Oryzias latipes: one gene and its partner. The protein of the gene in region 2 interacts with the protein of the main gene of each other region in a pairwise test. Links are inferred from orthologs where the notes say so. Each region holds a gene or a part of one and is shown on either strand. Other genes may lie near its edges.

Region 1 (15,225 bases), on a different chromosome or scaffold from region 2:
ACACAGGACAAAATGATCTGCCTGCCTTGCAAATGGGTCGTCAATGAAACCTGCAAGAAAAACTTTAGCTCTATTCTGTCCTCGACCTTTTTCAAGGAACCCAAAGGGATCCAGTATGATCTGGACCGGCACCAGTACAACTACGTTGATGCTGTGTGCTACGAAAACAGACTGCACTGGTTTGCCAAGTACTTTCCTTACTTAGTATTACTCCACACCCTGATTTTTCTCGCTTGCAGCAACTTTTGGTTCAAGTTTCCACGGACTAGCTCCAAACTGGAGCACTTTGTGTCCATCTTGCTGAAATGCTTTGACTCTCCGTGGACAACCAGGGCTCTGTCAGAGACGGTGGTCGAGGAAAGCGACCCCAAACCCATGAAAATGAACGGCTCGGTGGACCACAAAGAATCCGTCATAAGTGAAGATGTGGAGGCGAGCGTCCCGATGCTCCAGAGGACAAAGACGCTGTTCGAGCAGGGCATCGTCGATCGCACAGAAACGGGAGTTTTAGACAAAAAAGAAGGCGAGCAAGCGAAAGCCCTTTTCGAAAAGGTGAAGAAGTTCCGCATTCACGTGGAGGAAGGAGATATCGTGTACCGACTGTACATCCGCCAGACCATCATCAAAGTGATCAAGTTTATTTTGATTATCTGCTACACGGGGTATTACGTGCATGACATCAAATTCAGCGTGGACTGCGCCGTTAATATAGAGAGCCTGACTGGCTACAGTGTTTACCGCTGTGCTCACCCGTTAGCTACTCTTTTTAAAATCCTAGCCTGTTTCTACATAAGCCTGGTGGTGGTTTATGGTCTGATCTGCATGTACACCCTCTGCTGGATGCTGCGTCGCTCTCTGAAGAAGTACTCCTTCGAATCCATCCGTGAAGAGAGCAGCTACAGCGACATACCAGACGTCAAGAACGACTTTGCATTCATGCTGCACATGATCGATCAGTATGACCCTCTCTACTCCAAGCGCTTCGCCGTCTTCCTTTCAGAAGTCAGTGAGAACAAGCTGAGGCAGCTCAACCTCAACAACGAGTGGACTCTGGATAAGCTCCGGCAGAGGATCACCAAGAACTCCCAGGAGAAGTTAGAACTGCACCTCTTCATGTTGAGTGGCATCCCCGACACCGTGTTTGATCTGATGGAGCTGGAGGTTCTCAAGCTGGAGCTGATTCCAGATGTCACCATCCCACCCATCATTGCCCAGCTGGTAAACCTGCGAGAGATGTGGCTTTATCACACCCCGGCTAAAATCGAAGCCCCCGCTCTGGCTTTTCTGCGTGAAAACTTGAAGTCTTTGCATATCAAGTTCACAGATATAAAAGAAATCCCTTTATGGATCTACAGCTTAAAGAATCTCAGTGAGCTTCATCTGACGGGGAACCTCAGCGCCGAGAACAACCGTTACATAGTCATCGACGGCCTCCGGGAGCTCAAGAGGCTCAAGGTTCTTCGTCTGAAAAGCAATCTAACCAAGCTACCTCAAGTGGTGACCGATGTGGGCATGCATCTCCAAAAGCTCTCCATCAACAACGAAGGAACCAAGCTGATGGTCCTGAATAGTCTGAAGAAGATGGTCAATCTCACAGAACTAGAGCTCATTCGCTGTGATCTGGAGCGAATCCCGCACTCCATCTTCAGTTTGCACAACCTGCAGGAAATCGATTTGAAGGACAACAACCTGAAGACCATCGAGGAGATTATCAGCTTCCAGCACCTCCATCGTCTGGTCTGCCTGAAGCTCTGGTACAACCAGATCGCTTACATCCCCATCCAGATCGGAACCCTGAACAACCTGGAGAAACTGTACCTCAACAGAAACAAGATTGAGAAGATCCCCAGCCAGCTGTTCTATTGCCGCAAGCTGCGCATCTTAGACTTGAGCCACAACAACTTGACATCCATCCCAGCAGACATCGGCTTCCTGCAGAATCTTCATTACCTGGCAGTGACGGCTAACAGGGTGAGTGTCTGAACCCGGCTTCCCGACCCTCGAGTGGTTCAGGTCGATTATTCTGTCTTCTTTCTTACTGCACCTTGGAGTGGCACATACTCCAAAGCTCCCTAAACTTTGCATGCATCTAGTACCAGTAAGAACGAAGTTTTGGTCCCACCCGATTGATATCTATGGAGATAAAGCCAACAGAAGAGCTGCCATTTTGAAAGAAAGTGAAAGGGAGGGGGCGGGGGGTTTGCGGGCTAAACAATTCATGGTGTCTTTTAAAAAACTAATACTTGCATGTGTCGTTCTTTTTTTTTTTTTTTTCCACCCCAACCTTAAAGATTGAGAGTCTGCCAAACGAGCTCTTCCAGTGCAAGAAGCTTCGCACCCTGAACTTGGGAAACAATTGCCTCCAGTCTCTACCGTCCCGCTTCGGAGAGCTGACCGCACTGACGCAGCTGGAGCTGAGAGGAAACCGTCTGGAGTGTCTCCCCGTGGAGCTGGGCGAGTGCCGACAGCTCAAGCGGACCGGCCTCGTGGTGGAGGAGGACCTTTTCAACACCCTGCCCTCTGAAGTTAAGGAACTTTTGTGGAAAGCCGATAAGGAACAGGTTTGAAAAGCTCCGCCAGTGACATTGGAGCGCTGATAACTCTGTGTTGACGCAGGAAGTACTGTCTGCTCCGTCCCAAAGGAAGTCTGACGTTGGCGTCAGTCGTGCTGTCCATGAGGCCGACTGTGTCCCTCTGCAGGAATTCTGTCTGTGGTCGCTGTGGTTAGTTTTATCTTTATGAACAGTTTCCTGAGGCGTCTCTCAACAGGCCCGTGATTATCTTCTTCTCCAATAACGTAGCAGTGCCGTTGGGGTCGGATTAAGGAATTCCAAGATGGCGTTCCCACATTTTTACCCGCGATGGGTAAAATCAAGGATTATAGATGTTCTAATGCTGTAGAACTCCTCACTATACACTCTCTGCACTTTTCTCCAACAAACAGGAACATTTTCACGCTTCTCTCTCATTTAAGCTCCAAAATTTAGACCGATGTAGAAAATCAAGTCCAGTTTTATAGAATGAAGTAAAAAATCAGTCTTTGTATTTTAGAGGGATGATAATTCATGAAATGATTGTTTATTATTCTAAATTAGAAGGTGACCAAGTTTGACTGAGAAGATGGATCGATGTACCTGGAAAAATGTCGACTTAGGCTGAAGTCCAAAAAAAAAGCTACTATTTTATTTAACCAATTGCCATTGGTGACTTTTTACCATATTGAGACGTTATTTTAAATATTTTTTGTATTTGTTTGAACTGAGTCGTTTTATCTCCAGAGGGGGGGTTACATGACGTCTTCATCAGAGAAGTTTGCTTGTCGGGAGTAATTGTGTGACATGAATATTGTTTACCACTCTGCCAATATAAACTGATCAATCTTATATTTGTGAAAGAAACTGTAAAAAAAAGAAAAAAAGTTGTATTTAAGTTACATTATTATCATTATTTAACCACTTATTTATCACATTATTTTTGCCTTAATGTTTGTATTCTTTGTTCCTTTATTAGAGCTGGGAAGTCTTTAACTAAAGAAAATGTCTGTTTTCCTCGGATAGTTGAGACGTTCGTCTTCTTTCTGCAGACAGTTGGGAGACTAAGGATGTTTTCTCACGTTTCTTGATGCTCCTCATTTTATCAAGTGACCATAATTTAGCTTTATTAAAGTTACACAGCCAAGTCAAATAAAGCAAACTTTTTTCATTGCGTCACCTTTATTTGTAACTTTTTCTTTTTCTTTTTAATTTTTCTTTTTACTGCAGCGTCACAATTTACAGACAAAACAGTGTTTTGTGTGAGTGTGTGTTAAAAGTATGTGATACACTTCTAGCAGACGAAGGGATCAGTATTCGTGTGTGTTTGTGTTTTGTTTTTATCATTTCTAAAGTCTGAAGAAAAAAAGAAAACATGTATTTGTAGCAGAGATGTTGTTTTATAGTAAAGGTTTAACATTTGACTTAAAGCTAAAGTTTTACTTCTAGCTTTTGTGTGAAAAAACCCCCAATCAAGATTGTGGGTCAGCAGAAAAAAAACCATGTTTGTTTCTTTGTAACCTTTGCAGCGGCATTACATGTTAGTATAATAAACGTCTTTTTCTCTAACATGTCTAACTGCTGTACTGTATTTGTAGATTTTGTCTTAATTTGGATTTTTTTTTGCCAAATTGCAGTCTAGTTGCTTAAGATTTCCATCAGAGGTTCTGCAGGATGCGATTGCACCGTCCCACCCGTCACATTAAGACGCCTAATGATGTACTTTACAGTGTATGCAGGAAATGAAAAGCTGCACTTTAAACTGTTCTCATGATATGGAAGTAAGAGGTCATTAAACAAGACAATCATTTATTATCTGTGAAAGTCTTGCATTGAAGGGGTTTGAAAGGAATTACATATTTGATGAGTTTGTTCAATGCTTTGTCTGCACCATGTCTTCCTTATGTAAGGGATTGTGTATTTGAAGAAAACTGCACGTATTAAAATACCACTCAATTTCTCAGGAAACGACCAAGTATTCACTTTATTTGTTGTTGTTTTTACAGCATCATTTGAAACACTTCTATGCATTTGTGTTTGCATTTATTCAGAAACTACTTGTTTCCTGTGGTTTTGACTTTTCTCCATCATAGTTCTGTCCTTGTGAGTAGCACAATTCAAGTACATGGATGTTTTGTGTTTGCATGACGGGATGTTTTCTTTTAATGGGTTTTTTAAGCATCTTTGGGTACAAAGTTACAGGTCATGTTTCTTTAATTGTCACAAATGCAAAAGCTGCATTTAGTTCAGTTCAGTGTTACTTTTCACCAAAATAAAGAAAAACTACAGACCATGCAACACTGTGAGCTTTCTAACTGTTTGAAATCTATTTTATTTCTGTTGATTATCTGAAGGCAGGAGTGACAAATTATGTAATTTTTTTTATTACACTCCAATAGTCACTCGAGAGACTTGAAATGACCAAAAAAAATTATATTAACTGTCTGTGTTTAACTGTCTCTCTTAACAAGAGGTTATATTTTCAAGCTATTTTATGTTAAAAACATACATTGTGCAAGTTGACATAGTTAATTTTACTATTTTGACATGAAAAAGATAACTGATAAGAATCCATTGATTAATAATGACAATTATAAGAACAAAACTTGTTTTTCCTCTATCCCGAGCTTAGAATTTTTTTTAATTTCTAAGTCACAGGTAATAATCTTGTATGGATGCTGTTCATCCTTTTTTAAATTTATCGTCCATCAGTGCAATCCTTTTTCATTATACATTCTTTTAAAGTTACGTTTGTTACTGTAATATATAGAGATTTAAATATTTTTTTTAAGACGGTAAAACTGTGGTTGTTATGCGGAACCTTTGGTTTCCACTGAGTCGGTCTTGTCGGACACATTTCTGAGATGCACCGGTACTCTTTTTGAGCATTTGAGATGGTAGGAATCAATTCTGGATTTACGAAATGTTTCATCTCTGTGCTCATTTTTAGAAAAAGTTCAGCTACTCGGTTATTTATCACTAATGTTGTATTTTAGTTGTTTAATTCCGGTAACTGTTGTAGCTTTACGTTTTTGTCGCTAACGGGGAAATCCGAAGCCTTCAAGTCAACGTTTAAAATCCTTCATCTCTTTATTATTTTTGTTCGTTTTTGCAGGCGGTAACGTTTCACACAGACCTGGGAGACCTGAAAATAGAGTTATTCTGTGAGCGCACTCCCAAAGCATGCGAAGTGAGTTTATAAGAGTCGTCTCTATGTTTTGTTTAGACCGCAACAAAACTTTATTTATAACTCCTATCTTGACAATGTTTTCAGAACTTTCTGGCGCTGTGCGCTAGTGGTTTCTACAATGGCTGCGTCTTCCATCGGAACATTAAAGGCTTCATGGTTCAGACTGGAGACCCAACTGGTTTGGATTATTTATTCATTCTGATTTTATTTTGATAACCACCGGAAATGTCAGAATTAGTTCCACAATTGTTTCAAAATAATAGTACTCATCTGGAATCAAAGAGGCATCGAATAAATTACCTTATAAATATTAAAAAAACGCAGGTATTGAGTAATTTGAAATGAGTTTTATTCATTGTCTAAAGCTTTTCCGTTTAGTTTTTTTAAAGCCCCGTCTCACAACTCGTGTTTTCAAACTGCAGAACACACAAAAAAAGCATCAAATCAAGCAAAAAATAAAATAAAAGGAATCACAATCGTTATAGTATTTCTAGTATTTATTTAAGGATATCTGGAAACAATTGTGTTTTCACTGGTGTTTTTACTGGTGAATTAGAGGCCTGGAGTTGCTAAATAAAAGTGTAGAAGTAAAGCTAGTTTTAAAGTATATTTTTACACAGTTATCTGGGTTATTATAACTTGATAGTGCCCACCTCTGATCACTACACTGATGCCTCTTTGAATATTTACATTACTAAAGGTACTGGCAAAGGCGGGACGAGCATTTGGGGTCGCAAATTTGAAGACGAATTCAGTGAACACCTAAAAGTAAGTATCAGTCAGTCTGCTTACAAACTATGTGCTGCTGTGAATCAACTGCTCGTCTGTTTGCTTTGTGCTCTTTGACTTTAGCATAACGTCAGAGGGGTGGTCTCCATGGCAAACAGTGGCCCCAACACCAACGGCTCACAGTTCTTCTTCACATATGCCAAACAGCCCCACCTGGACATGAAGTACACCATCTTTGGAAAGTACGGGACTTGCACCACAGTGATCAGATTATTGCAGGGTTGCAATAATCATTCTTGACACGTCTAGTCGCTTTCGATAAAAATCCATCCGTTACTTTCCTAAAGCAGCTGCGCCAACCACTAACTTGAAAACCTCCAAGCCAGCAAAGTTACCTAAAAACAAACGTGTTTGGAAAGTTTCTTCTGGAAGAAAAGTCAGTGGGGAAACAGAACTTCAAAATAAAAGAGCTTTACTTGACAGACAAAAATCCAGATTTCCTGTGACACTTGTTCCCACAGACCATAATAACGCAGAATATTCAGCAACTCTCTGTCCGATGAGATCAGGATGTTGCTAATAAAGTTCCTCAAACAGTGAATTCATGTTTATTCTTATTTTTTAGAAAATACCAGTTTAATGACGTGTTTTTTTATTTATCCGTCACATCTTAAAAGTTGGACAAGGCTGAATTCTTTTTAGCTTCCTCTTTGACAGTTATGGGTTAATGGATTTCATGTTTGCACTTCCGACAGGAAATCTAGTTTTAGATCTAATTTTACAGAGGATGAAGATAAGCTATACCCTCAAATTAAGGTAAGCTGTAAAGTGAAAAAGAAGAAGTGGACGCCCACTTTAACCTCGTACAGTCCAGTCCGGGAAAATATAGTCTGACATCTAACCAGTCCGTGCTGCTTTCAGTACTTAGATTTTCACCTCAGCCCTTGTGTTTTGTCGTGTTGTTTAACTTCTGGTTTGCTCTGCCTCTAGGATCATTGACGGCTTGGAAACATTGGATGAACTAGAGAAGCTGCCTGTGAACGAGAAGACATTCCGGCCGATAACCGACACCCGGATCAAAGATGTGACCATTCACGCCAACCCTTTTGCTGGATAACTGTTGTGCGTTACTTTGTGCTTCAGTGAAAATCTGTGAAGATTAAAAAACGCAGGAAAAAATAATAATGTCTTTACTGAAGGCAAATAAACCATTGTGTTTGTTTAGCAAATGCTCTAGACTTCTGACCGTTTTTTTTTGTACCAAATAAAGTTTTATACCACTTTTGTATCTTTTGGTAAATTTGTTTTCTGTGACAAAAATATAAAATTAAGTTGTGTTTTTTTTCTATGTATTTATTTATTGGTGTTAAGGTTTTTTTCTATAGCCTATTTTTATTTAGTTGGAGGTAGAATTCTAATAAGTAACGCTAAACTACAAGCAAGTGTTTGTCGCGTGGGATGACGTCATCAACAGGGGACGCAGCCTGTTTTTGCTGAATCGATTTTCGCCGAAATGGCAACGAGCGACGCTTTTCAAGTAAGTCGCCTCTCGATCGCCTCTCGCGTGAACATTTTAGGATTACGTGTCTTCCAGTCAGGACACTACCTCTCTAGTTTGTGCATAAACGTCATGTTTGTAGTTTGTTCTGTTTAGGTTTCCTCCCTGAAGGGTAAAGTGGCCCTGATCACGGGGGCCAGCTCGGGGATAGGGGCCGGCACCAGCGTCCTGTTCGCTCAGCTGGGAGCCCTGTTGGCGCTTAACGGCCGTGACGTGGAAAACCTCACCAAAGTAGCCCAGAAATGCACGCTGCAGTGCGGCGGCGCAGAGGTGGGGACACGCCCCCTTTACTGCTATAAAATAATGAACACTATTTTATGATGAACTCCTCCATGACTCTTTGGTTATGTCAAGGCTTTCGGTTCTTGTTTTCTGTTATTTTATCTTTCATTTCAAGAAAACCCAAGTAGAAAAAAACCTTCAAAATCAAATGTACACTTAATCCTTTATTTATCCACCAATCGAACCAGAAAACGATATTCACTTTTACCATATAGGTTTTCTTTTTTTATTTTTTAGTTGTTTTGATGCTGAAAAAAAAATAACCAATAAAGCATCGTATGTGTAACGTGTGTCCTATGGAGGTAAATCCTAAAGACAGAACGACAGTGGTGCCAGTAAACAGCCCTGCTGAACCCCGTTAATAATCCAGAGAGGCTTCAACCTGATCACCTTACAGACTGATGGTTCCATCAAGAAGCAGATAACGAGATCCTGAAGACATCTTTTTTCAACAGTTTGAATTCATCTCATCAAATATCATGGATAATGGGTCAATTATCATATCAATGGTGAGCATTGAACATCACCCAGTGAGGGCCCTTAGGCAAGGCCCTTAACGCTACTGCCTCCCGAGCGCAGTTAGGCTGCAGCTCACCGCTCCCCCAGGGGATGGGTCAAATGCGGAGAAGAATTTCCCCATTGTGGGATCAATAAAGTATCAATTATGTAATTAATTAATTATTATTATTAATATAATTAGGAGTCATCTTGGGATTTTTATCCAAAATATCATTTGAGATGTTTGTGTTTTGCTTCAAACTGTGGATTGTAAGGAGGTCCTGCCTGCGCCAGCCTCATAAAAAAAACAAAAAACAAATCAGAAATGTGGAGTGAAGTGTGCTTTGGTGCTTCCTGTCGTTTGAGTTGGACTGAAATGATGTGCATTTTGTTTAAAATCGTAATGACGGCTCCCTTTCTGCGCAGCCGCTGCTGGTTCCCGGAGACCTGACCGACGAGGAGACGGTGAGGAAGACCGTGGAGCAAACTCTGGCTCACTTTGGCCGGCTGGACGTGCTGGTGAACAGCGCCGGCATCCTGGCCATGGGCAGCATCGAGACGTCAGACCTGGCTCAGTATGACAAGGTCATGGACGTCAACGTCAGGTAGGATTCAGAAGACGGAGGATGGACACGGCGCCGTGCCCAGCACAGTCCAGGATGTCGGGGAATGATGGCTCTCGCAGGAAAAGGAGTCCGTCCACTTTTTTTTAGAAGACCACGGTGCCAAAACTGAATCTTAAAGTCCCACTCTGATCATTCTTTTGATCTTTTTTCAGTAGGATGACGCTTTTTTAGACAAAGTCTCTGCAGAGCGGCTGGAGTTCATTAGAAATTCACCTATTAGTTGTGGTCCTGTTGGTGCTAAGCGACCCTAACCCCACTTCCCATCATCCATCTGTTTACGTGTCCTCGTGCTGGCGTACAGCCCCTCACACCCCCAACCTCACATTAGCGATGGATCTATCCAGGCGTGTCGTTCAGATCCAGATTCCAGCTCAGACCAGGAAAACAAAGACGTTCATGGATCAATTGGACTGCAGGTGGGTGCATCAGAAAGGGGCGGAGCTTGAGACCCGCCCGGCATAGAAGTGGACTTCTAAAAACCCACCCCTGTTAAGGCCCGTTCACACCGGGACGAATTAACGACGTTTAACGCCTCGTGACTAAACAAAGGGCCCCAATGAGAGTGTGCACACCGACGCGAAAAAACGCCACGCGACAAAGCGTCAGAAAAAAAAACGCCTCGGGTTCGTTTTTTTTTTTCGACGCGTCGCGTCGAAATCTACTCGACCAATGAGAATGGCGCTTTTGCTCACGTGTCTGGAGCTTCTGAAGTTACAGTAAAACACAACTTGGGGGCGCTCAAACACAAAACTGCCTTGCTGAGCACACATACCAGCGAAGAAGATAGACGCCAAGTAGCGTCTACACAGCCGCGAAGCAATAATGACGGACATTCTAAAACATCCCCGAACCAAGCACCAGTTGGAGCTACTGGTGCTTGAAATATTCATGTTTTCTTTGTTTGATTCTGACAAGCGTGTAAATACTTGCTCTCTTCTTCTGAGTGAAAAGCGACTTTAAGAAGCGTAAAGTTGCGCAGCGCCACCTTGTGTACAGGAGTATTTCTGTTTTACATTAAGCGCCATCTAATGTCAGGGAATGAAATTGCATGTTCACTCCACTCATCGTCAGCGAAAATCGCCTGGGTGTGAACACAAAAAACGTGGCGAAAAACGCTGGCGAATAACGCCTGGCGAATATTCGTCCCGGTGTGTACGGGCCTTTATCCTTTGAGATTTTACAGTATTTGTGGGATTTGGGGCATTGGGTGGTTTCCTCCAGCTGAACTCGTTCCCAAAGATCTGCCACTACACCCCCTGCGACACTACACCTCACTTCACCTTGTGGCGATGCAAACTGTTGAAACTGTAATCTGTCCGCTAAGGTGGGCGTTGGCGCGGCCCGCTGCTCTGCAGAGATGGGAACACGTGGAACAGGCTCTAATTAAATCAGGGCTGCTCATCACACAGGAGCTACGGGCAGAAATGCGCCTGCAGCCGAGCTGAAAGCTGTCAGCCTCTGTGAGCGCGCTCAGTTCAGCATCACTGTCTCTTGCCAGCGCAGCTTTCAGGAAAGCTCACCGTGTCAGCACACTGTTGCTGAGCTTTTCCTCTTGGCTCTTGGTTTGTAGAAATCCTAACAAACTTCTTTAGCCTCCGCTTAGATTTGCTGTCTTCTGTTCGGCAGAACATGATGATAAAGGTTCATGGTTTCGGTTGGTTTTATTCTGAGAAGCAGACCGGAGGCAGAGCTGGAGCTAGGAGAGAGGAAGATGATGGAAGTTCGGGACTGAATCCATCAGAGGAGCCGATGTTCTGGAGACATATGCAGATGGAGGTGGTCTGGACACACTGAGAGGAGGGACAGCCGGGATGTGGGCGAGAAGATGCTGAGGGAGGAGGTTCATGGAGGGAGAGGAGGGTGGTTGGTGTGAGGAGGATGCAGGGAAAAAGGAGCAACCAGAAGGCAAAGAAGGGGGTGAAAGAGTGACAAAACCCGCATGCAGCATGTTTCTTTGATGTATGGTTTGTGAAGACATGGAGATGTCTGCATAAAAAAATCACCAAATCGTTTAAACGATTCAAGAAAATTACGATATTTTTCCTCATCTATCATATTTGGCAGACCTTAAAGGTACTTTTCCATCGTTTTGGTCCTCAGTTTTCAGTAAGATGATAAACTAAATAAATGAAAGAAATAAATGAATGATAATCAACTTTGGAATACAAATATTGATGCATTTTCATCATCAGAATATAAAAAAACGTCTAAAGTATTGGAGATGTGAAGCTTTGATGCATTCGGAACTGGACTTTAATGGAAATAACTTGTTCTGATGCACAAACACAGGATTTTGGAGCAGATGATCTTTTTTACGAGTTGTTTTTTTACGCAAACCCGTTTAGGCTTTTACCCCTTCCATGTACACCTCACTAAAATTCCTACTGACGAGCTGAAGAGTTTTGAACGTGGAAGCCAGAACTCGCGATTTCACTACTTTTCATCTGAAGTGGTCGCCTGACCAGCAGTGGCGATGTGAACGTAGCTTTAGAACAAAAAAACGACTTTAGCAGTTACGTCATATCAAGTCTCAGGTCTGTGTTCTCAGATCTGTTTACCACCTGACTCAGCTGTGCGTGCCGCATCTGGTACAGACCAAAGGCTCCATCGTCAACGTGTCCAGTGTGAACGGACAGCGGTCTGTGAGTATCCTCCATCGCCATCAGCTGCTCCGTTCTCTGCAGAGTCTGACTGTCGTCGTCTGCTCAGTTTCCTGGTGTGCTGGCCTACTGCATGTCTAAATCCGCCATCGATCAGTTCACGCGCTGCATAGCGTTGGGTGAGTTGAGTGTTTTCCTGTTTGAGGCACCAAGAACGCTGTGAAACCCTCTTTTCTATCTTTAGAGCTGGCGCCCAAGCAGGTGAGGGTGAACTCTGTCTGGTACGTATAGAAGTCTCTGGAATCAGCTGGACGTAAACGCAGGCGCTTGCTGATGCCTCGGACGGCGTGCTCGTGTTTTTCAGCCCTGGTGTGATCGTCACGGAGGTCCACAAGCGGGCGGGACTGGACGACGAGCAGTACGCCAAGGTAAAAATGACCCGGAGGAGAACTTCCTGCTCAATCATCAACCCAGAATCTGGAATCGACCTCTCTCCTGCAGTTTCTGGCTCGCTGTAAGGAGACCCACGCCCTCGGTCGGCCCGGCGAGGTGGAGGAGGTGGCGCAGAGCATCGCTTTCCTCGCATCGGATGCCGCCAGCTTCATCACTGGGGTCAACCTGCCGATTGATGGCGGTCGCCACGCCATGTGTCCAAGATGAAACTAAACGTGTGAAAGTTTCTGATAAAATACTCGTAAACCTTTCAGTACGTCCGTGTTTTTGTGTCTTTGGAGAGAAACGGCTGAAGGCTGCTGAAGCTGAACTGAGGGCCGAGGATGATGTTAGGGGTCAAACCTCAGGCCTCCAGGGTCATTGTCCTACACGCTAACCTGCCAGTAGCTGCGGTTTACGTGTGCCAAATATCTTTGATCAGATCAAAGATGGGGTTTGAATTGAACTGTATACGTGGACCCAGAAAAACTTCATCCGATTATAACAAACGTTTGCATACGCCACACTTTTGGTCGGAATAAATCATCTGGACATGTGCAGAACCGTCTAAAATACCGGAAACGGGCGTGGAAGGAGAAACGGCGAGTTCCGCTGTAAACAAAGCTGATGATCTTCTAAACGTGCTTTTATTATTATGAATATTATTATTTGGTGCCTGTTCGCTCATAAGTGTTTTAATCCGTGCGACCAGTGCTTTATTCTTGGCTGCACGGTGAGGATCAGGTTAATACGTGCCAAAAACTTTTCGTTGTGGATGAACTTCAAATCTGTGCGTTCAACGCCGCAATGTGCATCTTTGCTGCACGTAAATAAATTACAAAGCACCCTCCCCTGCCCGCAAACGGAGCTACGCGTCCGGCTGCTCTGCTCAGAGACGTGCTTCGCATGGGGGGAGCAGGCGACTGGTCCTGGTTGACACCGTCTACGCATGACCTAAACCAGAGCAGCAGTGACCCACAATCAGAATGAACAATGAACTGTTTACATGCACCACGATCGAACAATCAGCAACCCCCCCCCCCCCCCCCATCTCCACCGGAAGTGATCAGGTTTTCACTCCAATTACTTTTGTCCATGTAAACGCAGCTGTTGAAGTTCCTGATAGGCTAAACACACCTGTGTATTTAACCCTTGTGCTATCTTAGATGACCCCCACCCTTCCATTGAGGTGTTCTCCCCACCATGACAAAGGTGGATAAAGATGGAAAGATTTCATGTAATCCATGGACACCAGTGAAGATCACAAATCATTGAAGAAAAAAGGTTCAGGGCACAATCTAGTGGGTCTAGATGACCCAACTCCCAATGGTAAAGTAGGATAGCACAAGGGGTTAAACAAAAAAAAAGCTACACACGTTTTAGCCATTTGCAGAAGCTGAATTAGTTTGGTAAAGAATTGGTTTGATGGATGTTTGCATCTATAGGTGTGAAGGGGCTAAGGTCGAAAGTACGCTTCGAAAACTTTAAAATGGGGAGAAAAAACATTTATTAATATTAAAATAAAATTAAATACACACGTGTAAATGTATATATATATATGTGCATATATATATATATATATATATATATATATATATATATATAAAAATGTAAATTTGAAAAAAGATGTTTTAAACTTTTTAATATTTCTAAGAAAAAAGGAAATATTAAAATTGTTTTAAAAAAGTAAATTTGGAATATGAATATATTTTACAAGTTAAAGAAATGTGAAAAATTTGAAGAAAAAAAGTTAGAGATATTTAACTGTTACCAAATGACCAATATTTATTTGTAACAGCTACCGGTTTGTTAGTTTAGTTTTTTTTCTCCACCTTCAGTCCAGTTTAATTTCAGTTCTGACTTTTTTTATAGGGGTGTTGTGCCCACTTGAACTTGGGGGTGTGGCCTGTTGGCTACTAGGACATGATTGACATCTGTTTGACCAAACAAGTCAAGTTTCAAATTTACTTTTTTTTTTTTTCAATATTTTCTTCAAGTTTACAAGTTTTTGTTTTCTTGTTTCTCATTCAGTGTAAGCTGGTCTTTATTTGACCTCATAAAACACACCTGATCCAGGTAATCAGCAGTAGATGAGGCCATTTTTTTTTAACCAACAGGATGCCGACCCCCCCCATTTAGGTTCATTTCATCTGATTGTTTGAAGAAAGTATGAATCAATTTGACAAAAGGTTTGAAATGTTTATTGATCCATTTGAGAAGCTTTGAGGCATCATTTCATGTAGAATTCACTAATCAATCTTTTATACCACGGCAGTGGAGCAACATCACAACTTTGGAAGACAAAAACAGCAACTTTGTCTCGTTTGAGAATGAAAAAAAAAACGGCATTCAGGGAACCTTTATAACCCTTCCACAGGTACAAGGCTGCACTCATGTTAAGAAATGAAATAGTTGGTTTCCTATGTGAACTGGTTCGATATCCTTCCCTTTTGAAGCACAGGCGGGAAGAAGGTCGACAGACGTTTGCTGCAGCATCAGAAGACCCCCCCCAGGCGGTAGCTGGTAACATTTGAGGTGAGAGGTGCAGAACGAGGTAGCGTCTTGTGGGAAACTCCCTCTGAGTGCTGAGAGCAGCACACAGCAGCCGTTTGCATGGAGACTTCTGCACAAACTCTCACCAGAGGGCAGTTCAGAGGCTCAAAGAGACACCTGGAGTCTGTCTGACGGCGACCTGAACTTCCACGAAATAATCAGCATTGCACTTCACATAAAAAAAATACAGCACATACGTATAAATAATCAAACCACGATTGCAGAT
Region 2 (15,451 bases):
ATCCTAGAAGCAGTCACCTCTCTGTTGGTACTTTGTCCAGTTGTAAGCGTGACTCATGAAGAATGCGTTCACCTTTTTGTTTAACTTCACTGTATTTGTGTTGATGGTCAGTTTCGGTCAGTGCTATCATCAGGCCTGAGCTCCTAAAAGCTTTTGTTTGCATCGTCAAATCCGTACAGATCAGTAGTGGGAATCTCCATCGACTGTATGTGAGTACTGGACTGAGTGACCCCTCCCCCTGCCAGCTCCAAGAAGCCAAAATCCCATAGATTTCTAATGAGAACTAATTCTTGCTCTACTGACTGTTCTTAGCATGTTCCTGCTTATTCTATTTTTTACGGTGATTTTTCTTTCTGCAGTGCAAGTTATCCAAGTTATAAACTGACCAATCAGACGCTTGATTTAAAGGTTTGGTGTAGCCCGGGTGTGGACTTCCAAAAAGCTCACTCTTTATTCGTGAGAGTGGTTCCCATAGGAACGCTGACTCAGACCGATTTGGGCCAATCACTGCTTAGTAACGTCATCTGGCTCCAACAATTTGCCGTTGGTGTCGCGAAAAAATGTTGACTCAATTGACTTCATTTGGTTGGTGCCAGAAATAAGCATTTTCTATGGGTGACATCACACTGGCTCTCTCCAGTTCCCCTACATAGTCAACGGGAAGAACTCTGTGTGGAACTCTGAAATGTCTTCTTTAGAGGTCAACTTTTGTTATGTAGCACGTGTTGTCTCTGAGGGCCACCCATAAAGCACTGGTTATACCTGCTTCTGCAGAGTCGGGTGTAATTGTTGGCAACACTTTAATCCTGGTAAACACAAACTATGTCGAAATCTGAAGATGTTATGGAAGGTGACCAATAGGCTTTGAGAGGTTGCAAAACTGTGTGTTTCAGGTCGACTGGCCCGGTGTGTGCGCTGCCCAGTGGCCTATCACGCCAACGACAACTGCATGGCAGCAGGCAGCGTGGTGCTGGACAACAACACCTTCCTCTGCCCAAACCACTTCACTCCCCGCAAAGGCTGCAAGAACCACGAACACATAAACGTGAGCTGGTGCTTCGTCTGCTCTGAAGGTGAGCCTTCCGTGGCAACCGGCGCTGTCACTTCAGCCCCCCCCCCCCCCCCCCCCCCCCCCAAGAGTGCAGAGTGTGTTTTATATGCAAACACTGTTTGAGCTGATCTATACAGAATCAGCAAACGGACTACCGTTCTTTCTTTTGCTCTGTCTAACAAATTTCATTACATGGTGATAACGAAAAGTAACCTTTTTGTTTTTTGAACAAAGCAGTTTGTCAGAGAAAATGTCAAACACCTGCAGTGCTGATCAATTTGTAATTGATTACTATAGTTGTGGACTAACTCAAGTGGAAATTGTGTAGATGTTGTTGGTCATAAACATCAACATGATCCAGCTATTTCAATAGAGCACGTCTCTCTGCATTAAAAGACCTCTCGTGTCTACAGATACACAGTAATCACCAATTAAAATCCAATTTTCAGTGTTCTCTTGCTAGAGAAATACATTGTCTCAATATCAGGCGAAAAAACTTGCTTTCCTGTGATCCTTTTTATTCTATTTTATTTTATTTGACTGTTATTTTACCGTGAAGTCCCATTAAGATCAAACTACTTTTTTAAGGGAGACCTGGGACAAAAGGCATCATCACACTAAAAACATACAGTTAAAACAATAAATTAGAAATTAAATACAGTTAATAACGAGAGACTAGAAACCATCACTATGAGGATACAGAAAAAGAAAAAAGATAGAAGTTACTATCATGAGAAAACTGACCAGTAAAACAGCTAAGTAGGCTATTTGCAGCTTCTGTAGATTTTTTCTATTTATTTATTTTTATTTTAACCTTTATTTAACCAGGATAAAAAAACTCATTGAGATTAAAAATCTCTTTTGCAAGAGCGTCCTGGCTAAGAGGCAGCAGCACAACAATGAGACACATTTCTCATTTACACTCACACTCAACCAGATCTAAATTCTGTTTGGTGACTTTTGTTTTCAATCATTCTTGGACTTCTGCAGGAAACAGAAAGAAACAGAACAGGTTCCTTTGGTTGGGGTAGGAGTTTCCCTTAAAGTCCCATGACTTTAATTAGCAGTAGAAAAACTAAACCTCACTTCTTATCTTGTTTTTTTCTTTTTGTGTTTAGAATTGATTATGAGATGATTTTTCTGACTATTTTTGAAGTTCCTATTTGGGAATTTGAGAGATGTTGGTTCTTAGTCCCTGTCCAGAGACAGATTGGGGCTTTTGGTGAAGGTTGAGTGGTTCATGGGTGTGCTGGGACTCCACAGGGGGCAGCCTCCTGTGCTGCGAAGCCTGTCCTGCTGCTTTCCACCGAGAATGCCTGAACATTGAGATGCCTCAAGGGAGCTGGTTCTGCAACGACTGCAAGGCGGGAAAGAAGCCGCGCATTAAGGACATCCTCTGGGTCAAATGGGGCCGTTACAGGTGAGGACCCCCGTCCCCCACCGTGTGCGCAGCCTCTGTGTGCAGCACCTGATGAGCCTGCGTTTCTGTCTGATCTGATCATTTAGGTGGTGGCCCGCTGAGGTGTGTCTGGCCAGAGACGTCCCGAACAACATCCTGAGGATGAAGCATGAGGTGGGGGAGTTCCCGGTCCAGTTCTTTGGCTCTAAAGATTTCGTGTGGACATACCAGGCCAGGGTGTTCCCCTACATGGAGGGGGACACTCACAATATCGAGAAAATGGGGAAAGGTGCAGACGCAATCTATAAAAAGGGTATGTTTTTTCCAAGTGTTTACCCATGAACTGCCTTCTGTGTAAGTTAGATTCAAATTTGAATGTCCACATTTGTCTCTAGCTCTAAGCGAGGCAGCAGAACGCTTCAAAGAGCTGCAGACAGAGCGAGAGATGAAGCAGCTCCAGGAGGACAGGAAGAACGACAAAAAACCGCCTCCATATCGACACATAAAGGTACGGTGTGAGCCGTCACTCATGACCGCGTTTGTCGTTTTGCCATCTGACCAAGGTTGGACAAATCCATTGGTGTTTTAGGTGAACAGGCCCATTGGGAAGGTGCAGATCATCACAGCAGACTTGTCTGAGGTCCCTCGTTGCAACTGCAAAGCCTCCGACGAGAACCCGTGCGGCGCGGACTCTGAATGCATCAACCGCATGCTGATGTACGAGTGCCATCCCCAGGTGTGCGCGGCAGGGGAACGGTGCCAGAACCAGGCTTTCACAAAGCGTCAGTACACAACTGTAGAGATCTATAGGACGCTGTCCTGTGGGTGGGGTTTGCGGGCTGTGTCCGACATCAAGAAGGTAAAAAAAAAAAAAAAACTGACGATTTTTAGGGGTATTTGTGTCTTTTTCTTTTTTGTTAAATGTGTGAGCATTCTCTGTTTCAACCACAGGGAGCATTTGTGAGTGAATACGTGGGGGAGGTTATAGATGAGGAAGAGTGTCGAGCCAGGATCAGGCACGCTCAGGAACACGACATCTGTAACTTCTACATGCTCACACTGGACAAGGTGAGCCACACCCCTGCAGACACAGGCCTCTTTCAGCAGAGATGGTGATTTGTGGGTTCTTCTCCTCAGGACCGGGTCATTGACGCTGGGCCCAAAGGGAACCAGGCCCGCTTCATGAACCACAGCTGCCAGCCGAACTGCGAGACGCAGAAGTGGACTGTGAATGGAGACACGCGGGTGGGGCTGTTTGCTCTGCAGGACATCGCCAAAGGTTTGACACAATCAGCTGTTTCCTTTCTCCTTTTTTTCTCCCTTTCAATGCATTTTGCACTTATTTGGGTTAAATCCAATGTTCTTCAGGAGAGGAGCTGACTTTCAACTACAATCTTGAGTGTCGGGGCAACGGCAAGACGGTCTGCAAATGCGGAGCGCCCAATTGTAGCGGCTTCCTGGGTGTTCGACCAAAAGTACACATCTACGCTGAAAACATCTTAGCTCACCTTCTTAAACCATAACTGATCATTTCATTCCTCGTCGTTCAGAACCAGCCCCCAGCGGAGAAGGTCAAACTAAAAGAAGGGAAGAGGAGAGTGGGCATGAAGAAGAAGACCAAGCAACAAGTGATGAAGGAGCGGGAGGACGAGTGCTTCAGCTGTGGCGACGGGGGTCAGATAGTGTCATGCAAGAAGCCGGGCTGTCCAAAGGTTTATCATGCCGACTGCCTCAACCTCGCCAAGAGGCCTGCAGGTCAGAACTTCCTGTGGTTTACCGTTGATCCACACGTTCTAAAGATCAGTCTGACTCAGGGAGGCTGAATTCAGAGTCCTGGACACTCCGCCTCAGCTGCATTTTCCTAAAAAAAATACTGACTTTTTAATAACAACAAACAATATTAACCTGCCACATTACTTTGTCACTTTTATACACTTTTTAGAGTGAATTCTCATGGAGGCTTGAATGTTTAGACAGAGATTTTGTGTTGTTTGCATAGTAAACCAGAAGAAAAGCTTAAGTCACTTGATAAAAGCATAACTAGTAATGCAGTTTAATGGCTCCTTCCCACCTGGACTGATTGGTTCAGACTTAATGTCCTGGAATAGTCCGTTTTTTGTGAGCAGATGGGAATGCTCACCTTCTCTGGTGCTGCCTTAGTTATCCATTGTAAGGACAGTACTGCCCCCAGGTGAGCAGCTTTTGTAAGTGCGTGATACACATGTCTAAAGCTGGGGTCCTTAACTCCCCGGTGGTAGAGGGCTAGGGTTGGGCGATGTCCCTTAAATTGGCAGTTGACGATTTTTGCAGTAAACCATCGGGATGGATGATGATATCATTGGGGGGGGGTATTTTTAATTGTTCTTTATTATATAATTATTTATTACTTCATTTATTTTATTTCCCAGCTAATGACTCATCCGCGATGATGCAGTATAAACTGAGGGAAGTGACTTTAACAAAAAATAATAATAATAACAAACAAAATAGAAAAGAAGTAGTCCGTTCCTGCACTTGATTAGTCAAGTGGACCGGTGGACCGAGCGACCGTGTCTCTGAGCAGAGCAGACGGACTTTGTGTTTGAGGGGAAGGGAGGATGCTTTGTTACCTGTCCGCTATGTGTGGGAGACTTCGGACTGCGATCCGTCCCGCAGCTCTAGGTGAACGAGCTACCGAACTCAGGAGAACCGGGTCTTCCGGTAAAAGTGTGTGTCCGGGCAGAGCTCGGACCGCCAGCACACACACAGGGGCTTTGTTTGGGGCGGTGTGTGAGCTTTTCAAAGCAGACATGTAGCTCAGTCCTTAGAAACCGTTCAAACAATCACCTGGATTTGTGTTTCCAGTCGTGTCCCGACTAAATAAAAGCTGATGTTATTCCCACATGTTTACGTTCAGCAAAGCTGCAGATTGCAGCATTTCCCGCATGGATTTTATGTTCATCAAAGGCTAAATGTTGTTAACCCGTGTTAGCCTCTCCTAGCACTGGCTTCTTCCAGCTCCGTTCTTCAACAGAAAAAGCACTGACCCTACGGATTTAAATTAAAATGATGAGCGAACAGGCACTTCATAATAACCATAACATTAATAAAAGCACGTTTAGAAGATCATTTAGGATATTAAGGAACTCATTTCCTCTTGCGGTATTTCAAACACTACTGTACATGTGCGAATGATTTATTCCGACCGAAAGTGTGACCCATGTGAACGATTGTTATAATCGGAAAAAACTTTTCTGGGCCCTTGTACACGGTTGAATTCTAATCCGACCATTGATCCGATAAAGATATTTTGCACATGTAACCGCGGCTTATGATGTCAGCGTGGCGGGGGCCTGATGTCAGTCAGCCAGCATCATCCATCGGCACAACCCTATCGAGGGCCACTGGTTTGTGGGTCAAATGGTACCAGGAAGCACAGAAAGAACACCTACATGACATTCTTTTTGTTTTAATTATTGCAACTGTTGTTCCCTCACATCAATGCAAGTTGCAACTGATTTAGATTTACTCTGTCCCGCAATGTTTTTGAAATTCTTCTTTCTTACTGCGCGTTTGAGCGACAATTTGACCCCCGCCACGCACTCAAAAACTCACCAACACACCTAGCATCCGATGAAAATGAATGTTTGAAATAGTGCTTTCATTTGAAGTGATTCCTCTGATTGCAACATAAATCTCGATTCCAGGGCGATGGGAGTGTCCCTGGCACCAGTGTGACCTTTGTGGAAAAGAGGCTGCTTCGTTCTGTGAGATGTGCCCAAGCTCTTACTGTAAGGAGCATCGAGAAGGAATGCTCTTCATCTCCAAGTTGGATGGAAAGTTGTCCTGCAGCGAACACGACCCATGTGGACCTGACCCACTTGAGCCAGGAGAGATACGGGAATACATGCCCAGCATGGCCTCTGTGAGGCCTGGCGCGGTGGCTGCACCGGTCCTAGATGCCAGAAGAGCATCATCCTCTTCTTCCTCCTCCTCCTCTTCTTCTCCCTATGTTCCCATCTCTTACCCTGACAGCCAAACAGCAGCATCCAAGCGAGAGCCTCCTCCTCGTCTCTACATCAACACCAAGACAGCTACCTCCAGCTTCATCCCCTCCAGCAGCTCCTACCTCGCAGACACGACGGAAGAAACCACGACCTCCTCGTCCGCCTCCTCCAAGGATGAGAGGGAGGACGGGGAGGTGGAGGAGGGGGAGGTCTGTGCGTTGGACATGCAAGAAGTGGAGGAAGATGAAGAGGACGAGGAGAACGACACAGAGATGTTGGAAGAGAAAGAGGAGGAACCCATTTATGGTGGAGATTTGGTGGAAGATGAGGAGGGGGAGGATGAGGATGACCCCTGGGGTAGCTGTTTTGATGATGACGGAGAGGTGGAAGAGGAGGATTTTGAATCTTGGGGTAAATTGGAAGATGAAAAGTAACTCTTTCTTTAGAAATCAGCAAGAATATTTAGTAGACTATGGCAGAAGAGATATTTTGGTACCTCCATGAAAGCTACACTGCCTTCACTTTGGTACAACATTGCCTTCTCATCTCCTCACTGCTGGACTGACAGCGGAGATGTGTACCGGTGCTTATCTCACTTAATCTTTTTTATATTTCTGCCAATATGTTTATGTGTCTGGTGCTGTTTTGTTCTGTTGTTTCACCTTTCACTGTTTACATTTCCTGCCTTTATTTTTTTATCTATATGTTTGGAATATAAATAAGAAGTGGGAAGTTTTCACTTGACCAAACTGTCATCAAAAGAGCATCTTATGCTGCCGTTTTTGTCTTAATGTCGTCTTTTCTTTATAGGGGTCATGGAAACGTGCTCTCCCACTGGTCCATGTTACACTTGGGGCACTGCAGTACAGTGTCTGTGAAAAGTGCAAAAATAAACCCACTGGAATTATTATGGGGCTCTGGATAATTCTTCTCATGACAGAAAATATTTTTATTAAACTGATGGATGTTTCTCCTCCCTGTTAAATGTAGAGTTTTTTTTGGGAAGTTCCACCATAAATAACACTAATAGTAACAGTTGTTTTATTGTATTTTTTAATTTAATTTTACTTAATTTGATCTGTGATTTTTGGGAAAATGTTATATTCCTCTCATTGCAAATCTTGTCTCTTTCAAAAGACCCAAGGGAGATGTAATATTTAAGGAAGATTTAGAATAATCAATAGGTCGTACACAGACTACTTTTACATTTGTTCCCATTTATGAACACGTTTTAAGTGCAGTATTTATTGATCTATTTATTATAACTATGAGATTAGAAACCACAAACAGCCACTGAACGATTTTGTCTGTTTTGAACAAATTCAGTTGGGTTATTTTCGTTAGTTCCATTATTATTGTTATAGCAAAAATTACAAATCCAATTATAAAAGAAAAATAACTACTGTCCAACAAACTCCAATCGGAAGTGAGTGACGGGATTCTTATTTTGCCATGGTTTTTATTTTGAAGGCATCTGGTGTCCACGTGATGTCGCTGTTTTCCGCTGTGACGCCTGACTTTCCGACGAAAGCGGATGTGACGTACCTGAAGATAGTTGGAGTAACATGGCGGTGGTTGCGTTTTAACCAAAACACAGCGCATTATTTTCAAAAGGCTAAAGTTTTCGAGCATATAATTAAAATAATTATTTTTAAAAAGACATAAGCGACATTCTTCATTTTTTCTTCTTCCAGTAACAAGGTAAGGTTATCTTGTAAATTCTGTCCACAATCAAATTGTTTTGCTAACATTTTTACATCTAAGCTAACGTTAACGTAGAAAATGCTCTCCTGTTTAAAACACATAAAACAACACAAAATTGATGAAAATGAAATGCTTAAGTACAGATATGTTAAATCCAGTTTCAGTCATGACGGAGCAGGCGAATACCAGTCCAGTCGAGGGCGTCGTGAACCTCGACGAACCCAAGAAGATGACCAGGGAGGACTGGAGGAAGAAGAAGGAGCTGGAGGAGCAGAGGAAGCTGGGAAATGCTCCAGCTGAGGTGGACGAGGAGGGAAAGTATGTAAACCTCGAGAAGATAGATGATGAAATAGGTCCAATACTGTCAACTCAAATACATGAACTCAATTTATTATTCATCCTTTTCTCTAGGGACATAAACCCTCACATTCCGCAATATATTTCATCAGTCCCATGGTACATCGATCCATCTAAAAGACCAACACTAAAACATCAGAGGCCACAGGATGAAAACCAGAAACAGTTCTCGGCCATTGGCGAGTGGTACAAGAGAGGAGTCCAGGAGGCAAGGATCCATAGAATCAATACTTTGATGTGGTGTTGACTCCTAAGAATGAAGACTGAACTTGTGATCTCATGCAGAATGTGGTCGTCACCAAATTCCGAAAGGGTGCTTGTGAAAACTGTGGTGCCATGACGCACAAGAAGAAAGACTGTTTGGAGGTAAAACATTTTGAAAAAAACATTTTCATACGCATGTAACACAAAGAGCTTTACATAGTACAAATATTTTTTAATTTAAAACCAAAAAACAAAGACTTTCACACACAATGTTAACTCACAATGCTAAAACACAATTATACCCCCATCATAATTAAAGACAGTCCAGTTAAAATTGTGTTTTTAACATGTTCTCTTTCCAACTTTTTTATATGATGGAGGACATATTGAGGGAATTAAGCTTGCAATTGCATTTCTGAGTATTTCTTTACACAAATTTTGGTAAAGCAGGAGAAGACAAAAAAATGCAATTGCAGGGCAGGCATGTATTTTCTGCACCATCTCTGCTGTATTTTCAAGTAATACACTGTGTTAAAAACAACGATAAAGTTTAAGTTTCACTCGTATTTCATCAGCGACCCAGGAAAGTTGGTGCAAAGTTCACAGGAACAGACATTGCTCCAGATGAACACAGTCAGGTTCAGCTGCAGTTGGATTATGATGGAAAGCGTGATCGCTGGAACGGGTATGACCCCGAGGAGCATCAGCGCATTGTTGAAGAGTACGCAAAAGTCGATCTGGTAAGTGGATATACGTTTCCCAAAAATGTAGGTGTGGAAAGTATTCAAGCTGATGCTGCTGTGTTTTCCCCCCTATTCATTTAGCTGCCGTTATTCACTAAAATGTAACCTAAACATCATTAGTTTAGCATGAAATTCAAAATATGGCTGAAGCAGTTCATGTTTTGCTGAACACGTATGTTCTGCTTTGCTCCTGAAACCCCAATTCTTTTATTTCTCAGGCTAAAAGGACTCTGAAGGCGCATAAACTTCAAGATGAGTTGGCCTCAGGGAAATTGGACCAAAATGTAGGTATAAGTGTCCACAAAGATTGTTCTGATATAATATTTCCAATGACCTTTTGAGTTGCTGCGTCTTCTGTGAGCAGGAATGGGAACACGACAGCGAGGACGAGGATGAAGACAAATATGCAGACGACATCGACATGCCCGGTCAGAACTTTGACTCCAAGAGACGAATCACCGTCAGGAATCTGCGTATCAGAGAAGACACAGCTAAAGTAAGAAACAGATGAACAAAAAAGCCAAATATTTTAGTCTTTTTTTAAACATTGGTTTGAGATGGGTTGCATATATTTAGTTTGGTGGCAGATATTTTGAAAGTTTTTCTGTGCTCTTCCACAACCACAGCCTCAGTTGAACTGACAGGATAACCTAAATATATTAGTTTCTATAGAGTTCAATCTAAAACCAAAAATTATCAGATTTTTTGTAAACAAGTATCTAAAAGCAACAAAAAATGAGAATTATCTGCACTTCTGTTGCTACACACGGCTCCTTTTTTTGTACACTGCTCCATCGATGTAGCAAAGACGTATTTCTTCTTTGAATTTTATCCTTAACTTTTATCCTTTACTGCTGTTTTAAGATAAATTTAAGTTAACAGTTGGCGTGCTGCTATGTCACATACCTAAATAATTTTCTTCAATAAATTAAAAAACAAACAAACTATGATGATTAAGCTTGATTAGGCCTTATAACATTGATATTAAAAAATGACCTTTTTGTAAGAGTAAATAATAATAAAATTATTTAGATCTTCAATATATTTTACATAAAATCTCTAATTAAATTTAGCAAATAAAAACTGTGTTTGACTGTAATTTCCTAGACTGTAAAAACCCTGAAGTTCTTACATCTTTTCTTCTTCAGTACCTGAGAAATTTGGATCCAAATTCAGCGTACTACGATCCAAAAACCCGAGCCATGAGAGAGAACCCGTACTCCAACACTGGCATGAACCCTGATGAGTGAGTTACTATTATCTTTCAAAAGGCAGTGTTAGTTTTTCCGGGATCTTCTGCAATGACTGACCCCCTGCGTGTTGCAGAGTTGGGTACGCTGGAGACAACTTTGCTCGCTACTCTGGAGCTACAATAAGCATGGCTCAAACCCAGCGTGAGTCAACACTGTTTTTCCATTTCTTTACAATGTCAAAATCGTCGAGCTTTGATTAAATGGAAGCTGATGGGCTCTTGTGTTGCACATATGTTATTGATTCATATCAAAAGAAATGTACGGTTCTCTGTAGGCGTGTGTCTGTGTGCGACAGCTTGTTTTCATTGTGGTTTTCCTGTCAGTGTTTGCCTGGGAGGCCTATGAGAGAGGCTCCGAGGTCCATCTTCAGGCTGACCCCACCAAGCTGGAGCTGCTCCACCGCTCCTTTAGAGTGAAGAAGGAGGACTTCAAAGAGGAACAGAGGGAGAGCATCCTGGAGAAGGTGCCCAGTTCACCCCACCATGACAATCTTTAGCCGCACAAAAGTTTGACATTTGAAAATGTGGCCCCACTCAATTATTCACTGAATTAGTAGTTTATGTTTAGACTTTGAAAATAGTTTTGTTTTTATCTGGGCCACCCTTCAGTCTGTAACCTAAATATGATTCCATTTATTATTTACTGTATAAATCTGTTCCCATTTGTGTGTGCGGCTCTCAGTATGGAGGACAAGAGCACTTGGACGCACCCCCCCGGGAGTTGTTGTTGGCCCAAACTGAGGACTATGTGGAATATTCTCGTCACGGCGCCGTTCTGAAAGGCCTTGAAAAGGCCGTCGCCCGCTCCAAGTATGAGGAAGACGTCCTCATCAACAACCACACCGTAGGAAAAACAGGACAATCGTTTTTGTGGGAAATGTTCCTGTTACTTTTCTCATGATCACATTGATGCTCCTTTTTCTCTTGGGTAGTGTATTTGGGGCTCCTACTGGAAAGATGGCTTTTGGGGATACAAGTGTTGCCACTCGATGATCAAACAGAGCTACTGCACTGGAGATACTGGATTCAAAACAGTAAGTGCACGGCTGCCCTCACACATGCCCTCTCAGACTTGACGTTCTTCAGTTTACTCAGATGTTTGGTTCTTTTATCAACCTGCAGAACAATTCAGACTGTGTTCCGTTTGAAGACGGGCCGATTGAAAATCAAGAGGAGGAACAGCCCAAGACTCTCCTGGAAGTAAGTGACCACGAGCATGTGAAGAGACAGCTATTTAGAAAAGAAGTTTAAACGTTTGTCTTCATTCTAAAGATGCATCAAGACAAAATGAAAGAGAAGAAGAAGAAAAAGAAGAACAAAAAGAACAAGAAGCGGGCCTCAGACAGCAGCGACTCAGAGGATGAAGAAAAAAAGAAGGAGAAGTTGAAGAAGGTGCAGTACAACGGGTTTTTTTGGTGTCATTTATTGTCATTTTTTTTGGATGGCTAAGCTTCCACGTCATACTTTCATCCAGGCTCTGGACGCAGAGGACAAGCGAGTGAAGCAGGTCGATGCAATCATGCAGCTGGATGAGAGGAAGAGGCCCTACAACAGCCTGTATGAAGTTAAGGCGCCCACCGAGGAAGAGATGGAAGCCTTCCGCATGAAGCGCATACGACCAGACGATCCCATGGCGTCCTTCCTGGATCCCTGATCCACCACCAAATCCAGAAAGACTCAGAATAAACAAGTCAGATGAAAACAGCAACAATCCTGCACTGGAAGTGCTGAAAGAATGCATATTTTTGTCCTCTGAAATGAATTTTCACACCTTTGTAGGACGTTTAGCCTTTGAAAAAACATCTTGTCTTTGTTCCATACCTTTATGCTGATGTGCAGAACATGTCTGTCGCTTTCAACATGAGGTCTGCTTTTTACATTAAACAACATTTTTGTGTAAAAATACATCTTTTTTACTATTTTTATTGGAAAAAAATAAATTTCTTAATCCAAAGTAACCCAGTTCAAGTAGATGCAACTAACGTTAACTATTTGTGCTTTTTGTTCAAATTTTTGTTATTTTTCTCTCTAATTTAAAAAAAATGACAATGTAAAAACATGCAGGGGTTTTTGTACAATTTGTACAATGAGCTTAAACTTTTTACACAAAATAAGTACATCAGGAGATCTCAATAAGAAATAGTAAACAGAATAAAATAATTGAACAGGAGAAAATATTACTCATCACACAGAAGCACACAGTTCCACTGTACTGTATGGTACGCGTTGGGAGTATTATAAAAATGATCAAATTTAATAATAAATCCCTAAAAATGTGAAGAAATCACTATTACTCTGCATATTATGTATAAAAAAATTTGGTTTGAAGAAAGTAATAACAGCATTTTTTATATTTTTACCATCAAAACCTTAATAGGTAATCCAGTTTTTGATTTATGACACTAATATATAGTTTTGCTTTATTATGACTTATTTATTACGATATTTATCATATTTCATCATAGAGTTTGCATTTGAGAAACCATGGCTTAATATCCAACTGAATTACAAAAAAACATGTTCAGCTTTTTATTAGTTTCCATTGATAATTTTTAAAGAATCTAATGAAGAAATACTGAATTAAAAAGTGTGTCCAAATCTTTGAATGGTTATGTAAATACAAACATATGTTTTTCTAATATCAGCAGAATGCTGTATGTTTTCCAGGTGAACCTCACTGAGCTAAAACATTCTCCTTACTGAGTTAGAATGCATTGGCTCTGCAGTTTTCAGTTGTTTAATAAATATAAACAAGAATTTTTGAAGTTACATTTTGTAGACTGATGCAGTGTCTACAGTGTTAGTGTGTACTAGTCTGTCATTTCTGCTAAAGTTTCTCGTGTTCTCACTGCAGTACAGTTGGCCTGGCTATATGACATCATAGTGAAAGTATTTTTGGCCCATCATCTCCTCCAAACACAGGGCGGATGTTTTGCAGCATTAAGAGCTCCTCCAAAGATTTGAAGAAAAACAATGTTCGCTTTGCTGCTGAAGAGTCATGCAAAGACGTTGGTGAGCTTTCATGGAGATCTAGGTTGTGGAAATAGGATAGAAAACCCCAAGAGGCTTTGATTTCCCAACTGGTGAGTTGTGTTTTTATCTTTGTAGAGCTGCAGATTGATGCCATTAGTAAAAAACGCAGCAGAGATCTTTCCTTTTCTTTAAATTAATGACTCGCATTTCTTTCAAAACATTGTTTAGAATACCAAAACTGAATGTGCCACTTAGGTAATGCAAAGATTGGAGGATCTTTATCCTTCTATGCATGCATTTTGTCAATACTCTCTTAAACATGTCCAGGCGAATCCATTTTCATCTAAAACTTTTTCATGTAGGACTGTGGAGCCACATTTGCCCCCTCTTTATTGCTCCATTCTCCCGTTTGTGTCTTTCCAGCGCTCAGCATGCTCCACTTTTGTTTCATGATGTGTTTCCTGTCAGTCGTAAACGGTCAGTCGCCAAATCCTTTGTCCAAGAGGGATCGTCCCCTCACTGTTCATCCGTCCCAGTTGGTCTGCAGTCTGCCAGGTCCTCCTGGGCCTGCAGGAAATCCAGGAGCACCTGGACAACCAGGGTCTGTGGGGCTGATGGGACCACCGGGAAAGGACGGGCCGGATGGAAGTGATGGAGAGAAAGGAGAAAGGGGGGCCAGAGGTACTCACTGCAACCATAATTGTTTTTGCTCATGAGAAGTTAAGTAACTAATTGAATTTGTGTCATTGGGTCAAAATGATTTACCCATCACTTAAATTAATTGACCTGAAACTGTCAAATGATTATTCTGGAGGATCACTTTACCACAACACTAAAGCTATGAGTTTCCTTAGCAAAATGGAGTCTATTCAAGTTTACAAGTCTACTTGGTCTTTACTGAAAGTGAGAATACTTGAAGTTTACTTTTTATATTACATCTACAGTATATATTGTGAACCTAAAATATTTCTTCCAACTACAATTTAGTTGGAAGAAGAATTCAGATAGTATAATTCCTACACTTATCCTCATATTTACTTAATAAATGAAAATTCAAGTGTACTACTTTTTACTTAGGGTTACTGAAGCCCAAAGCACTGTGCTGAGGGGTCACAAACATTTCTCTTTTGGTGGTCTCCTTGAACTATTCTTGTTCTGGTGGTCCGATGTTCTGGTTCCATCCTTTTACCGTGCAGCCTCACTCAATCCAGTGTCACTCAGCAGAACTTTATATTTCCAGTGAAGCTCATGGGTTTTGTGAAATCCACTATCTCCTATCTCCAAACTATGACATTTATTGCTTTATTTTATGAAGACGATTATATAATACTGCAAATTTTAATGTAAAACCCTTCTCTTACAAGAATTTGTACTTTCTGCTGCACAGCAGACATGGGTTAACCCTGACACACAACTTCTGAAACTTCTTGAAGATGTCTTTCATTTGAAGCATGTTCAAAACACTTACTAACCTAAAACAAAAAAAACCAGCTTGATCAGGAACGGTCTTTTTTCCCCCATCATGTCCCACTTTTGTTAGGACGTCTTTCTTTTCATAGTTCTCGTTTTGACTTTCCTCTCTTGTCTTGACTTCCTCTGTTCGTCCTCGAGGGATTTTTAGAATCCTTGCAGATGTTGAGTTTAGCCCACTGGCTGCTCTTTGATGTCCTTTAACAGCTTTAACAGCTTTGTGGGAATCAATGAGCTTCTTTCCCACATCTTTAGAGAATAATGGGCTTAACACATTTGAAGCCAAGTCCTCTTTTTCTGGACTAATGATGT

Evidence for each region.
Region 1: the proteins of slu7 (region 2) and ppil3 interact in binary tests that used the Homo sapiens proteins (3 or more experiments, as listed by UniProt). The link is inferred for Oryzias latipes from reciprocal best matches to the Homo sapiens genes SLU7 and PPIL3.

What each region holds. Positions count from the first base shown.
Region 1 is NC_019867.2:2,409,510-2,424,734, reverse strand, and holds ppil3 (peptidyl-prolyl cis-trans isomerase-like 3), read left to right. Parts: upstream 1-5,445; 5' UTR 5,446-5,513; coding exon 5,514-5,540; intron 5,541-5,646; coding exon 5,647-5,721; intron 5,722-5,805; coding exon 5,806-5,899; intron 5,900-6,421; coding exon 6,422-6,489; intron 6,490-6,573; coding exon 6,574-6,692; intron 6,693-7,440; coding exon 7,441-7,567; 3' UTR 7,568-7,738; downstream 7,739-15,225. Other genes in the region: volume-regulated anion channel subunit LRRC8A, read left to right, coding at 1-1,971, 2,292-2,567; uncharacterized protein LOC101161976, read left to right, coding at 7,964-7,987, 8,105-8,278, 9,215-9,393, 11,963-12,056, 12,124-12,193, 12,259-12,295, 12,379-12,442, 12,516-12,674. UniProt on the Homo sapiens protein: PPIases accelerate the folding of proteins. It catalyzes the cis-trans isomerization of proline imidic peptide bonds in oligopeptides. May be involved in pre-mRNA splicing.
Region 2 is NC_019868.2:17,433,510-17,448,960, reverse strand, and holds slu7 (pre-mRNA-splicing factor SLU7), read left to right. Parts: upstream 1-7,973; 5' UTR 7,974-8,137; intron 8,138-8,298; 5' UTR 8,299-8,306; coding exon 8,307-8,458; intron 8,459-8,551; coding exon 8,552-8,705; intron 8,706-8,782; coding exon 8,783-8,863; intron 8,864-9,276; coding exon 9,277-9,441; intron 9,442-9,662; coding exon 9,663-9,728; intron 9,729-9,808; coding exon 9,809-9,940; intron 9,941-10,592; coding exon 10,593-10,690; intron 10,691-10,770; coding exon 10,771-10,838; intron 10,839-11,020; coding exon 11,021-11,160; intron 11,161-11,378; coding exon 11,379-11,540; intron 11,541-11,628; coding exon 11,629-11,730; intron 11,731-11,818; coding exon 11,819-11,896; intron 11,897-11,968; coding exon 11,969-12,088; intron 12,089-12,170; coding exon 12,171-12,350; 3' UTR 12,351-12,601; downstream 12,602-15,451. Other genes in the region: histone-lysine N-methyltransferase, H3 lysine-36 and H4 lysine-20 specific, read left to right, coding at 894-1,073, 2,315-2,471, 2,558-2,763, 2,846-2,958, 3,040-3,309, 3,402-3,518, 3,588-3,729, 3,819-3,925 and 2 more; c1qtnf2 (complement C1q tumor necrosis factor-related protein 2), read left to right, coding at 14,101-14,350. UniProt on the Homo sapiens protein: Required for pre-mRNA splicing as component of the spliceosome. Participates in the second catalytic step of pre-mRNA splicing, when the free hydroxyl group of exon I attacks the 3'-splice site to generate spliced mRNA and the excised lariat intron.